Caenorhabditis elegans: one gene and its partner. The protein of the gene in region 2 interacts with the protein of the main gene of each other region in a pairwise test. Each region holds a gene or a part of one and is shown on either strand. Other genes may lie near its edges.

Region 1 (7,383 bases), on a different chromosome or scaffold from region 2:
TATGGCGAACAATAATAGCATGTGCTGAGCAGCTAAAAAACAAAAGGAATAGTAAGAAATGGAAGAGTGAGAAATGTTTGAGAATGACCAGAGGACTCAAGTCAAAAAGATTGCGCGAAGCGATAGAGACCTTCCTCTTCTTTTTTTGGTGGTAGTAGTTTGTTTCGGGACGAAGACGAGAAACGGCGTCCCGTCCCATAAACCTCTATTATATTCCAACAGGAAGATGAAAAGGGTGTGAGCTATTTAACCAATAGTTTACAACTAACAATTATATTGTAAAACTGTGGAAACTATGCCTTATGTAAACTTGAAGAAATCAAATCGAATTAAATGGATGTATGAGTTAACTTCAACATCAATAATTATTGATGAGTGTGAACGGTGCAGAGCACAGTGTGGGTAATGACGGTGAGTTGGAGGTTCTACAGTGCCGCCATCGGAGCTTGCCGACGCGCGCACGGAAAGCGTAAAAAACAGTCGGCAAGACTCTACGAGACATAAATATCGTTTCTATTGGTGGGCAGCGGCCGCACGTGGTCTCTCGCGGCTTGTTGTCGAGACAATCAAAACAATAAGAAAACAGTAGGAGACGGCACACGGCTCACTATAGGAAGCACTCGAGAAATCGAGATCTATATTGCGAAAAGTATCGGAAGTACGGGAATCAAGCACAGATAGTTGAGCGTCATGATCTGATCTTTCAGTGGAAATCGAGTGTTAATGATCAAGAGCAAGAATATTATATATATAAAATGGCTAAATTTGTTAAATTCTAGGATCTATTTGGAATACGAATTTGACAGGTGCAGAAATTAATATCCCTGAATCAGAAAGAGCCCGTGAGATAATTATTGGATTTAGAGAGTCTATCAGTTATTGGTAACTGTACACTAGGTAATGTTTCAGAGTAAAAATGAGGCAAAAAGAGAAATAGAATGAAATTTGAATTAGTCTATGAAACATGAACCTATTTAAATTATCAATTTGATAATTTCAAACAAAGATTAATATTTCAAATATATTCTCCTTTTCGACAAGAAGCTTCTTTGATAGGATAAAAAGCTCAGCAGGAGGCCCTACGATGGGAAGGAACGTGTATTTTGGAACAAAGTGTGGATCGTTGTCGTTGTCTTCGTGCTGGTGGTGTTCTGTTCAATTGAAAATCCCGAAAGTGAAACATGTCGTAAATGTTGTGTCTATGCGCCCTCATGATGATCTGACGAACTTCTCGCACAAAATTAATAATGAAGTAGAAGAAAGAGTGAATTAAAAATTAATTCAAAACAAACGAAAGACGCTTTTGAACAAACTATTGAGGAATTTAGCAAACATAAAATAATAGAAGAAAATCTGTTTTGATTTTAATTTCTACGACAGTCACCGACAATTCGCATTAAATCGCATACCAAACTGAGGCGATTCGGACAACGATTGTGTTGATGGTTGTTGGTGTATTGAAAAGCATGAAACTAAGCTGAATGTATTTAACGGAATAGAAAAAGGATTCAACTGGTCGACGAAAAGTTACAGAATGAAAAAGTAAATGTCAAAACTTCAACACTTCAAACCTATGCAAGAGATGACTTTTATATTACTTAAATCGGTTTCCCTTTCAATTGGATCAGATGTGGTAATAAGAAAAAAGTCGTGTTGGCGAACGGAAGATAAAAAAAAACAAGTGTTTTCAAAATGATGATATCACATGTCACATTTTAGCTTTAGAACTCTTTCGGGCCACCGGAAGAGAAATGAACATTAAACACCGGAAGAGAGTAAAGAAAAATTTCGGCGAACCAAACATGTATCCCATTTTGACCGATCAAAAAAAAATGTTTTACTTAAATGAAGCGATTCTCAAAATTTCTAATCAGTTTTTTTTCAAGAATATTTTAAAGAGTATGGCATTATTTGTAGTGGCTGCCACCATAGAATAGTATCTTCTGTCATAAAATACTACAACAACAATCATTGAACAGTCACCGACAGCCTCGCGAAGATGAAAAAATACTTTACAATTGTAGAATAATAACGCTTAACACGTAATACATATCATTATGCATAATGACTTGACGACAGTCTCGATTACACTACAAGAAAAAAAATAACATCTATAACTTTATGCGACTCTACGACGACAACATAGAAAGATGATGGAATTGAAAGAGAAGAAGCCGAGAGAAGCGTACGCTCACACACGCGTTCACTCACACAATTGCGCAATTAATTTAGTTGTAATACGCGTTGCCGACGTGCGCAAGACTATGCAACGATGAGAAGGAAGTGAGTGAAAAGTGAAAAAAAAAAACAAAATTTATAATCGAAAATTAATCGACTGACCAGTTTTTTTTTGGCGATCTTTCCTTCACAGCCACAGATTTTTTTTGATAAAATAATTAAACAAAAATAAAACAGTTGTTGTCTATTATCAACAAAAAATATTCGTGTACGCTAGAGGAGGAACTTTTTTTTACTTTTTAATATTCACGAAGAGCTTTTGGCCAGTGGGTCAAGAAAATAAAAATAGAAGAGAATTAAAATGAAGAAATAAGTCGGAGAATCCAATATAGGGGAAAGCTTGAATGATAAATCGAGGTTAATCGGCAAGGCGCGTACGGCGTACGCACACGAATACTTCGTCTATCTTTCTGTGTCTCTCTTCAAAGGTCAGACTTTCTGTTACGAGAGAAGAAGAAAATGAAGATGATGAGAAAATTGTTTCAATTTCGTGGAGGGCAAAAGTAAGAAGGGGAGAACGCCAATTGGCATCTTCTTTCAATTGACCGATCCACGAAGAGCACTCACTACTATCAATGATATGTGGTGATTAGGTACCGAAAGATAAAAAAGAGAAATTTTTAAACTAAAAGTGGTCGTGAACCTATGGAAAGACTATTTATCATCAGGAATTTGAATTTTTATATTGACTAAACTATTTTATGAAAATGTTTTTGATAATCTTAAAGGAGGATTTCGAAAAATGGGGATACATTTTTAGAAAACTCTGAAAATTCCAATTTACTGAAATACCACGAAAGAAAAAAGAAAAAATTACTAAAGATCAAAAATTCCAACTTTGAAAAGTGTGAATTTACATATCTCGAAGCCACACCCAGTTTCGAACCAATCAGCGTCTTCGTCTGATTGGTAAAAAAGTGGGCGGAGCGAAATGCTGATTGATCGCAGTTTTATTTTTGGAGGAAATTAAAATAGGGAAAAAATTGAAAAAGAGCGTTTTTGAAAATTGGAATTTTTGATCTTTCTTAATTTTTTCTATTTTTCTTTTGGGAAATTTCAGTTTGTAGGCATATTCCGAGTATTCTGGAACTGAATCAAAAATTTACTGATTTTATTTCCATCAAAAATTTACTTGATTGGTATAAATTTTTCCGAATCAATCTCGATCAACTAAAAAAAGCAAGTCATTTTGATCCATCTGAAGGTATCACGCGAGACTAATAATCTCTGATGCATTCCTATCCGTTTCTGATCTTCGACAATCTTAACCAATTCAAACCAGGACCTATCTTAAAATATAATATTTTTATCATTATTTTATGGCGATTGTGATGCGTTGATGTCTGCCTACCTGACTTATGGCCCGGCAGAAAAAAAAAAACAAAACGTGACACTTCAAATCAAAATTAGATGACTTTTTTCTACGCTAAGATACGCTATTGAGGTGTTCTCTCCTTTTCTGACTATCTTTTTTTGGGAAGGTGATGATACAATTGCGTGAGATGCAAAAATTCAAAGAATTCCGTTACTCTCCCCGCAAAAAAACTACAAATTATCAGAACCTAGCCATCATCCATCAAACGGATTGTTGAGATGAAGGGAGAAACCAATTGAATTATATGAAGAATTTCCGTTATCGAGTTTTCTTTTTCAATTTTTTCTAATAAAATCTTAATAGCATTTCCGTTTCTTGAAAATTTTGTTCCGCATTTTTTCATTTCAAACAAAAAAAACTAACTCGTTGATTTGCGGAGATGAACGGAGCCGTCGAAGATTTATGAGCCATCGTAGATGCCATTGATGACGTCGGACGGTATATTGGGGCAGTTGAAACAGTTCGTACAGAATCCGACGAGTGAATCAGAGACACCTGGAATATGAAAAATGGATAATCGTCAAACATCTGCTAATCTAACAGTAGACCTTAAATATTTTTTGAAAAATTTTTATCGACACTGAAATTTTTATTTTTAGATTTTTTTTTAAACAAATTATGATTTCGTCACAGTTCACGTACTTCATGAATCACGTGAATATAAGATTTACAAAAATAGATCAATCCCTTTTTGTAACAATTTGAAAAATAATTAATCTCGATTCTCACCTGTGTGACACCGTTGTTTGCCGGGTACCCTATACCCCCTCCGCTACTGGTCGTGACCATCTCGTTGAGAACTGAGATCTGAAAATGGAGGGAAGATTAGTATAATTTTGTTTGAAAGGATTGAGAGAAAATGACAAAGAGCAAACGTGAATCGTAATACTGAACTTTTCTTTAAAAAATCCAAAATTGTCTAAAATTCAGAAATGCCACAGAAGAAGAACGAATAAAATCGAAGAACAACGAAAAATTGAATTTTTAAATTTTGGCTAAATTCCATGCTTGAATTTCCAAAATGAGAATTTCGACCGTTTTTTTTCGTGAAATTTATGACAATTTTCAATTTTTCAAAATAAAAACAAACTTCTTTTAATTTTTCACATTAACACGGTGGTTTGAAGATATTATAGAACAAAAATAATATTTCACCGCCATTAAAAATGATCAAAGAGGAATTGAACCATTGAAACAGAAAAATCAGGAGAGAGTCCAAAAACATAACAATGAAAATTATCAAGTAGCCGTGTTATTATAGTTTTCTGTATCTAATTACGAATTATTATCATTTCGTAATAATACCGTTTAATCAGTGATAAGGTGTTAATAACTTACATATGAAATTTTGCTGAAACTTCAAACTTGCTGATAAAACGCCTCACATGCTAAAAACGTAAAAAAGAACGAGCCGTAACAAAAATAACGAAGAGAAGGAGGACCTGCGATTGAATGATCAGAGGAGCGCGCGCGCAAGGGAGCGTATGCATGTGTTGGTTCGAAAGATGACGACGAGCCAAAGTAAACACGGCCTCTTAGATATTGGGGTCGTCCCTCTGTGCCTCTCTCTATTCGCTTCGTTTATTATCAACAAACTTTTCTTATTTCTCACAGTCTCGTACCACATATCTTCAAAAAGAGACTTGGCACAATGCCAAAACGGCTTTCGGTGTAGAATGAGAGATACACAGACATTGAAAAAGAGATCGGGGACATCAACCTTGAAATGGATCACCGGTTGATTAACGACCAAAAATAGGAGAAGAACACCGGTAAATGTGGGTTGCTAGTTATGGTCCGTAAAAAGTGAAGTTGCGAAAAATTATTTTTCTGATGATCAAATCGTTGACAATTGAGCGAAAATGGGGGCAGAAGTAGAAGAGTGCATGATGAATAGAGGAAGGAAGAGGTCCACTTGAAATAATTCCGAAAGTGGCCTATTCAGTCGAGAATTGGCTGCTTCGGAAGCAGAACAAGCACAAAAGAGTGGAAGGAAGAGGAGAAAACTCAATTTCGACAAATTCTTTCTCTTGTCACTAACGAAACTCGAATGGTCATCAGGAAACGAAAAGGAAAAAGTAAAAATGTTCCGGTTCTTTTAATTCAGGATTTTATTTTGAGTTTTTAAAATAGGTTCGCGGTAGAGAAAATTTTTTTTAATTGCATCGATTATATAAAATTACAAATCAAGTTTGTCCAAATGAAAAGAACATCATTGTTTTGTTCGCTACAAGGAGAAAACTAGAAGCGAATTGGAGCTTTTGCTCCCGCACATTTCAATTGTTTGAAGTGGGAACAAGAAGAGTGCACTTTCTATTGGAAATGTGCTCAATGATTGTTTTTCTTTGTCAATAACTTAAAAGTAAATTGAAAGCCGTTTAAATATTTTAAGTAAAAATTAAAATTCAGAGTTCCTTATCCAAAATAAACAAAAAAAAGGTAGAAAGAAGGAAGCTGGCTGAACCAATTTCTCATACGGACCGTTCGACCGTTCGGGCGTGTCAACGATGTGAGTACAGGAATGGAGGGACGGAAAAGGTGAGCACGGGAGTGCATTAGAGAGAAGATACGCAGAATGAAAAGGCACATGAGAGACATAGTTGATTGAAGAGACGCAGAGCATAATCGGTTCTGTTGAATACAGGCAAAAGAAAAGGATATTTGTGTGCGTTTGTTGTGAGGGCAAGAAGGTCAGAGGAGAGCGACCGTTATTCTAATGAGAGAGAGTGACTAGGAAGACAGAAGAGACGGAGAGAGGGAAATATGAAAATACGTCATTTCTGAACTGATCGCCGGAAATGATTGAAATATTGCGCTATAGGTGAGATCTTTATCACAGAAAGCGAAAGCTAGACATCCAAAAAGTAAATACCTTCGGCGCTCTTTTCTCCTGCGAAACGAGCGAGCTCATCGTTTTGCCCACAAGGGTGCGGAAAACTTTTTCTTTCGGTTTTTTCGCCGAAAAGGGAGAAAAAAAAATGTGTGATGAACAATTCGTGTTTGTCTTCCAGCGATCAGTGTGACGAAAAGAAAAACTGAGAAAACAGCTGGTTTCAGTATTCAAAAGATGTATTGTTTAAATTTCACTGTGAAATAAAGAAAACACAGTAGGAAACGACTGAAATCTGATATTTTTACGTTAAAAACTATAAAATTGAAGAAGTTGGGATTATTGAAAGCCACTAAATAACAAAAAATCGGGAAAAATCATGAGAGAAAAGAAAAAGAAAAACAAGAACAAGAAGAAAATGAACAACACGCCGCCGGAACAGTAGCACGTTTTAAAGCCGCACTCACATTGATATGCAAAGGGTCTCGACGCGATGTCAGTGAAGGTACGTTAGGGAGAAAGTTTTAAATTCGCGATCGATATCGATTAGGTCGGCAAATATAATTGCGTATGTATTTAGATAAAACTGAAAAAAAACTATTAACTCATCTGAACAAAAAAGAACAAACACTACAACAAAAAAACGATCGGTTCTTTTTCTCACTTTTTGTCACTTTTTGGGCGAAAAAGAAAGCCTAAGATTTACTGATTACCAGTCTTTGCTTGAATAACCTTAAATTTTGGAAATCTAAACGTCATTATAATGTATTATAATTTATTTCAAATGATTTTTCATATGTGATTTTTTATATGTTTTCAAATTATTGTTACGTTTTCAAGAAAGAAGCTCAGAAGTTTTTTTTGGCAAAACTTCATGAGCCTTAAAAATTTACAAAAGAAGCAGCAGAATCGGCTTAATAAAAATTTATTGTAAAAACGT
Region 2 (6,284 bases):
AACGAAATCAAAAAATTTAGTTCAGAACAGTACATTTATTGAACAGAATATATAAATAAAAGATATTTAGCGCAATAAGAGACGAGAGGGAGAGATGATGGTGGTGGTGAAGTAGTGACTAACCCACCATCAATTGTTTAAATAAGACATACAAATTTGGCTTTTGGAGAAAAAGGAGAAAAGGGGCACGTAAATGGAAGTAAACTGAAGTGGTGTTTGATGGAATTGGAGACAAAGCTTCATGGGAACTTGAAAATAATGACCAAAATGTATCAATATTTCTGGAGAATAGTGAGAGCTTTAATCAGATTGTCACGAATCGCTTTAACATCCTCGTAATCGACGGCGCTCATCGCATATTTTGTAAGCTTTCGAACCTCTGCGAACTCCTCATCTGTTGGCACTGAGCCAGGTGGGGCAACAGGCTGTGGTGTTGAGAAATCTTCGTATTGTTGTGGCTGATTACGTGGTGGTGGAGCCGAAAATGGAGTATGAGATGGAAGATTTGGAGTTGAAGAATACGATGGAGGTGGAATATTGTTGCGAGCAGGTGGTTGTGGTGGAAGAGAGTGATCTTTAAAAGTTCAGAATTCAATTATTTTTGAAAAGAAAATTAAATTTTTGATCTTCCGAACATCTATTAATTTTTGCTTCGAATAATTCAGAATCAAAATTTTTCGTTGAAAAAAGCAAAGAAATATATGCAGTTTCTGAAATCCTAAAAAAGGATGTCGTCGAAAATTTTTCACTTTTTTCATTTTTGGTTTTTAGATTTCAAAAAAAAAGAAAATCCGACACCCTTTATCTTCACTTTTTTGAAACGAGTTATTCAATTTTAAGCTGTGTATTTTTTTTTCTGTTTCAAATATTTTCTAACCTGATGGGACATTCGGAATTCCACCTCCAAATCCAAATCCAGGAGCCGGTGGTTGATTATAACTGTGCTCCTGTGGCCCTGATGAAGATGGAGCATTTGGTTGGAATTGTGCTCCAAACTGTGACAAATCTAAAAGTTCAAAATGCTTTTCTTGAAAATTCTATGAAGAATCTCGAAGCCTACCATCGTCCGCATCTTCTGTCTCTTGACTACTTGGTACATAAGGTGTTCCATCTCTCAAACATGTGAAAATCTGTGTGCTCTTCCATTTAGCATATTTCTTTGATGAAAGGAATGGCTCATCAATCTGCAAAAAAACTTTGTTTCAATATATTTCTACCAGAACTATTGTTTTTTTATTTTTTCGAACCAAAAAACCAAAAACAAAACCGACTTCTTAAAATTTTTAATTTAGTTGGGTAAAATAAGAAATGTATTATTTTTGTTTTTTGGTATAAATTAATTAGTATAAATACTCAGATCTACTTACCTCTCCAAACAGAGAAAGAATATCCATGACATGTCCTGCAGTGTAGAATGCGTGGACTACGGATTTATCGACCTGAAATAGTTCAATTCTGATTCTGATTTTGCCGGTTTTTCTGAATAGCTGAATAACAAAATTTTTTAGTTTTTTAAAATTTGGCTCAGAAACTGATAAATCGAAAAAAAAGCTTTAATGTTTTCCATCCTGGAAAAATGGGAAATTTCTGTTGTTGGAAAACCGGAATATAAATACTAAATTTTTTTTGAAAGAGAACGATTTTTAAAGGTTTTCAGAAGCATTTTCTGAAAAAAAAATTCGGTTTTGCTCTAAAAAAACGGAAAAATGGAAAAATTTTTCGCCGACACCCTGATCGAAAATCTTTGATTTTTGAGGGGAACATTTTCATTATATTTTAGCCATTTCTCATGTTTTTGAAAAAAATTATTTTTTTCGTTTACTTATTAAAATTAGCATTTTTGAAAACATCAAAATTCGATTTCTACTGAATCGAAATATTTCTGATTCAGAAAACAAATTTAAATCAACTAACATTTCCTGTTTTCTCTTTCTTGTCGGCAAAGTTGAAGAGCTTTTCAGCAAAACTTTCAATGTGTGCTTGAGCAATTGTCTGAAAAAATTTTTTATACAGTCATTTGAAAATTAAAATCTCACCTCATTTTTAATAGCATCATTGTCAGCCAATTGAGTTTTAATCGCTTCAAGAGTTGTGAGAAGTCCAGTCAGATATTGACGTGCTTCGACAGTTGATTTATCAAGCTTCATGGCAGTTTGAACAGCATAGAAGAGACCTGTAGAGGATTAAATGTTTAGAAAATGAATAAATTCAGATTAGGAAATTATACAATGTTTTTTATTTGCAAAAGCATACGGACACTGGGAATGTAAAAAAGGATTGATGGAATAAATCAGACTTCCGGGGATCACTTCACAGAGGAAATAACTGAATAACCTAACTATGGTAGGAAATGTTTGGAATTTGATAATCAATCAATAAGTTTGCGGGACTAAAGATACTATTAATGGGTCTCTCGAAAACAGTTTCCTTGCGAATAACTAATCGAATCCATTCTTCAAGTGTTCCGAGAATTCTGTCAGTCGCCATTGTCGGAATTCCACAACTTTCACGAAGATGACTGATATTTTTACTCAACCAGGACATTCCCTCAATCAGTTTCTCACGATCTGCCTTCTTCTTCCAACATTTCTCCGTGAATATTGAACTTTTCTGATCAATTGGGTTGATGATTTGAAGATTTGTCAGAATGGGATATTTTGGAGCAAAGTGTAGAACTTTACAAATCACATTGAAGAGATGAGTCAGATTTTGAAGTGCGGTTAGAGTTGGAGCCTCCGAGTGATTGAAAATGTGAGTGATTTGAGGAATATGAAGTCCACGGATCGTATCGATTAGCTGACATTGACAGTTTTTAGTAGTAATTGCTTCAGATGCTGGCCCTCCATCGATCTTCACTTTGAACAGGTCCATGACTTCTTTGATCAATGTGAGCTTTCTATATGCAACTAATCTGATCAATACATTGATTGATTTCACTTCTTTATCCTTTTTGGACTGATTTTTATTTATTTGTAGCTCCATAATTTCAATTTTCTGCTTCAAACTCTCCTCAAAATTTTGCTTTTTGGAAAGTTCTTCGTTCACTTCTGAAAGCTTTCCTTTTCCAATAAGTATCTTCTGATTAATCTTTGCAATTTTTTCTCTCAGCTTTTCACACGAAACATTTTTCTGTTCAATTTCCATTGATATATTTTGTGCTCTTTGACAATTATTCACAACTCCACCAGGTTCATCAATATATTCTCGGAGTGAATCTCTATCATTGATATGATCTTTTTCCAGGCGAATCGATGTTTGAAGTAGTTTCCACGATATTTCATCGAATGTTGTCTCCACAGGACCAAGTGCCATACAGAGCAGGGCTGTGCGATGATAAAGTTCACAATTTTTAAAGATTTTCGTTACTTGGTATTTAATAAAATTTCCGCACAACCCTGTTAGTATTTACAAATAGTTAGATAAAAGCTCAAACAAAAAAGCGGGGAAAATGAGATATTCGGTTCAAATGAATAGTTTGGTCAAAATATTTGAAAAATAACTTACACCAGTAATAAATGACCGGATCGCGGCTTGCATTCTCGTTAGCAATCTTTATGTAGTGAGCAATTGGTTTGAATGCTGGTGGGAGATTCGCAGACATTTCTGAAATGTCGAAAAATTAATTAAAAATAAACAAATTTCGTATAAACTTCTAAAGTACGATTAAATAAATATTAAAACTCTTTCCCGACAATAATTATTCTAAAATTTCGCAAGAAAAGGAAAAATGAATGAAATCATTGCTACTTTTATCGCAAGAAAACGAACTGAAGAGTTGTAGAAAACAGAAATCGAAGTATGACTCAAACAGTTTCCCCTATCACTCTGCGTCTCTTCATCCTCATCATTGGCGACATTCGTCACTGCTATTTGTTTTGAAATCAAATAAATGGAAAATGGAGGATGAAATTGACAAGAATGACAGCAAAATCGATAATCTCAGATGTATTGAAGGCGGAAATTTATATGAAAACCGCAAAATTTTATAGACAAACAGGGAAAATCCTACATTAGCTGATGTTTATTTTTATTCACATAGTTCGGATCTAGACCAGTCATTATTGTATTTTGAAGAGAATGAATTATTTTAGGACAAAAAAAAAGCGAAAATGGGGTACGGGAAAAGTAACAGCGGGTATCACACTGGAAAATAATCGAAAAAAGAAAAGAAACACTAAACCAAGTAAAAACTAACCATGCAGTATATGTTAATCCCAATATATTATACAAACATACATAATAAGGAACACAACCGTGATTAAATCAATGAATCTCTGGGGTATACGTGAGAACAATGAAGAAAAGCCATAAATGCATTATGATAAAGTACAAAACAAAAAAGAGGCGGGCTGATGGATGTCCGCGGAGCATTGATAACAATTTGAATGCCGTCGAATCTACAGTGTGAAGAGCATTTCGAGTTTGTGGATTATTGATATTTGATAGAAGTGGATGAGATGATGACGTGTGCATTGGAGATGAATTCGAGTCCACAGCAATCGATGTTTCACGATTTGTAGCTTTCTAAAAACAGAATATTACAACTTTTGATATTCATAAATTGATAGTTTCTCACCTGAAGTCTTTCCAATCTCACATTCAACACTTGATTATTTCTTAAAACATCTTCCAATTGTTGTTGCTTCTGCAGTAAAAGATCAGTTAGTTGTGATGATCCATCATCTTCCTGCTTCGTTTGTTCATCTCGCATTCGTGAACGCAAGTCGCTAATCGTCTTTCTCAACTCATTTTCCTTCTCGAGCATTTTAGATTGATGCTGATCACCTTGTCTTTTCATTTCTTGTTTTGTGAACTCATTTTCAATTCTTGAACATTCCACTTTCTCGTTTAGAAGACCAATTGTGCTATCCCATGTCTGCTTCTCCTCGAGATGAGTTCGTTTTTGGTCCGACAATTGAGATTGGAGATCTCTTAAAAGTGGAAATTGGAACAGTACTAAGAATTTCTCAAAAAAGCCTCTTTTTTTTGAATTAAAAAATTAAAAAGCTATTAATTAAAAGCTCGACCATCGAGTATGGGAGAGAATTTGAATTTTCGTCATAAATCCGAAATGTGAAAAATTTAAGGAAAAACCTTACCTTATCTGAGCTTCCAATTCTTCCATATCAGATCTCAAGGTATAAACTTGAAGTTGTGCAGATTCTAAATCGGCTTTTGTAAGGTCTCTTTCAACTCTGATCTCTTCAACTTCAGCTTGAAGAAGATGAACAGGACGATCACTGGATCCGATTCCTTGCTGAATTGAATTTTAATATCAATCCTCGGTCAAATCTCTCAAACCTCTGACTTCAGCGACTCCACCAGTTTCTCTTTAGCTGTCAAAATTTTCTGCGCCTTGTTCTTGTACTCATCAAATTCTTTTTTGTTCTCATTCAGATTGAACTTTGCCAGCCTCAACTGTTCGACCATCGCACGAATTTCTTCTTCCAAACCAACTATTTTTCTCTTATGCATGTTACACTCCTCCACTGCTTTCTCTTTTTGATCTTGTGCTTTTTGTCTAGAAAACTTGAATTAAATGCAAAACAACACGTCAAGATGTTAATATAATTACCTGGCTAATTTCAATTCTTGAAGACTATCCATTTCATGACTTGATACTTTTTGGTTTTCAACTCTCTTCTCTAACATTTCCTTTTCAGCTTTCATCTCGTAATAATCTTGACTACGTTTTTCAAATTTTCTTTCCACTTCAGAAAGTTTCGTTTTTAATACTGATATTTGAGAATCCTTTGCAAATAATTGAGATTTAAAATTGGGACTCGAATCGTTTCCCGCAAATTCTGCTGAAAAATCAAAATTCAAAAGTTTCGTAAGAATCGTCAAAACATACAGGTAGTTCGAATACTAGCAACACTACGGCCTCCAACACTCCTCTGACTTCGTGTATCTTCATCTGGTTTTGCATTTTTTACTTCTTTCGAGTTTAAAACCATCGTCCAACTTTCAGATGCTGCTGTTACTCCTGGCTGATGAGTCGATGAACTACCCCTGAAATTTTAAATGACACATGTGAAGAAAATCAGAATAACGAACTGTTCATAATTTCTTCCTCCTCTCCATCCGGCTCCGGTATAATCACTCTGAGCTCTCGAGGGAAGAGATGGAGCCGGTCTGCCGAAATCTTCAGTGATAACATGTTCTGGCATCGAAATAATCGTTGCTGAGACGCTGGCGGTACTTGATTTACGTGTTCGAGGAGCGGAATCTCTGGCATTTTGAATTGCGTCTCCAGTCTGTAACATTTATTCTGTACATAGAAA

What was found.
Region 1: the proteins of T23G11.7 (region 2) and ape-1 interact in a two-hybrid assay, tested with the Caenorhabditis elegans proteins (one large-scale study listed by BioGRID).

What each region holds. Positions count from the first base shown.
Region 1 is NC_003283.11:11,672,981-11,680,363, reverse strand, and holds the start of ape-1 (Apoptotic enhancer 1 protein), read right to left. Parts: upstream 4,427-7,383; 5' UTR 4,403-4,426; coding exon 4,343-4,402; intron 4,109-4,342; coding exon 3,977-4,108; intron 2,370-3,976; exon of another isoform or gene 2,165-2,369; intron 652-2,164; exon of another isoform or gene 444-651; intron 240-443; exon of another isoform or gene 93-239; intron 1-92. UniProt on the Caenorhabditis elegans protein: Negetively regulates apoptosis via its interaction with cep-1.
Region 2 is NC_003279.8:7,676,773-7,683,056, reverse strand, and holds T23G11.7 (HAUS6_N domain-containing protein), read right to left. Parts: upstream 3,610-6,284; 5' UTR 3,602-3,609; coding exon 3,505-3,601; intron 3,324-3,504; coding exon 2,335-3,323; 3' UTR 2,224-2,334; downstream 1-2,223. Other genes in the region: golg-5 (Golgin-84), read right to left, coding at 4,264-4,524, 4,577-4,931, 5,100-5,257, 5,302-5,521, 5,576-5,807, 5,855-6,012, 6,058-6,257.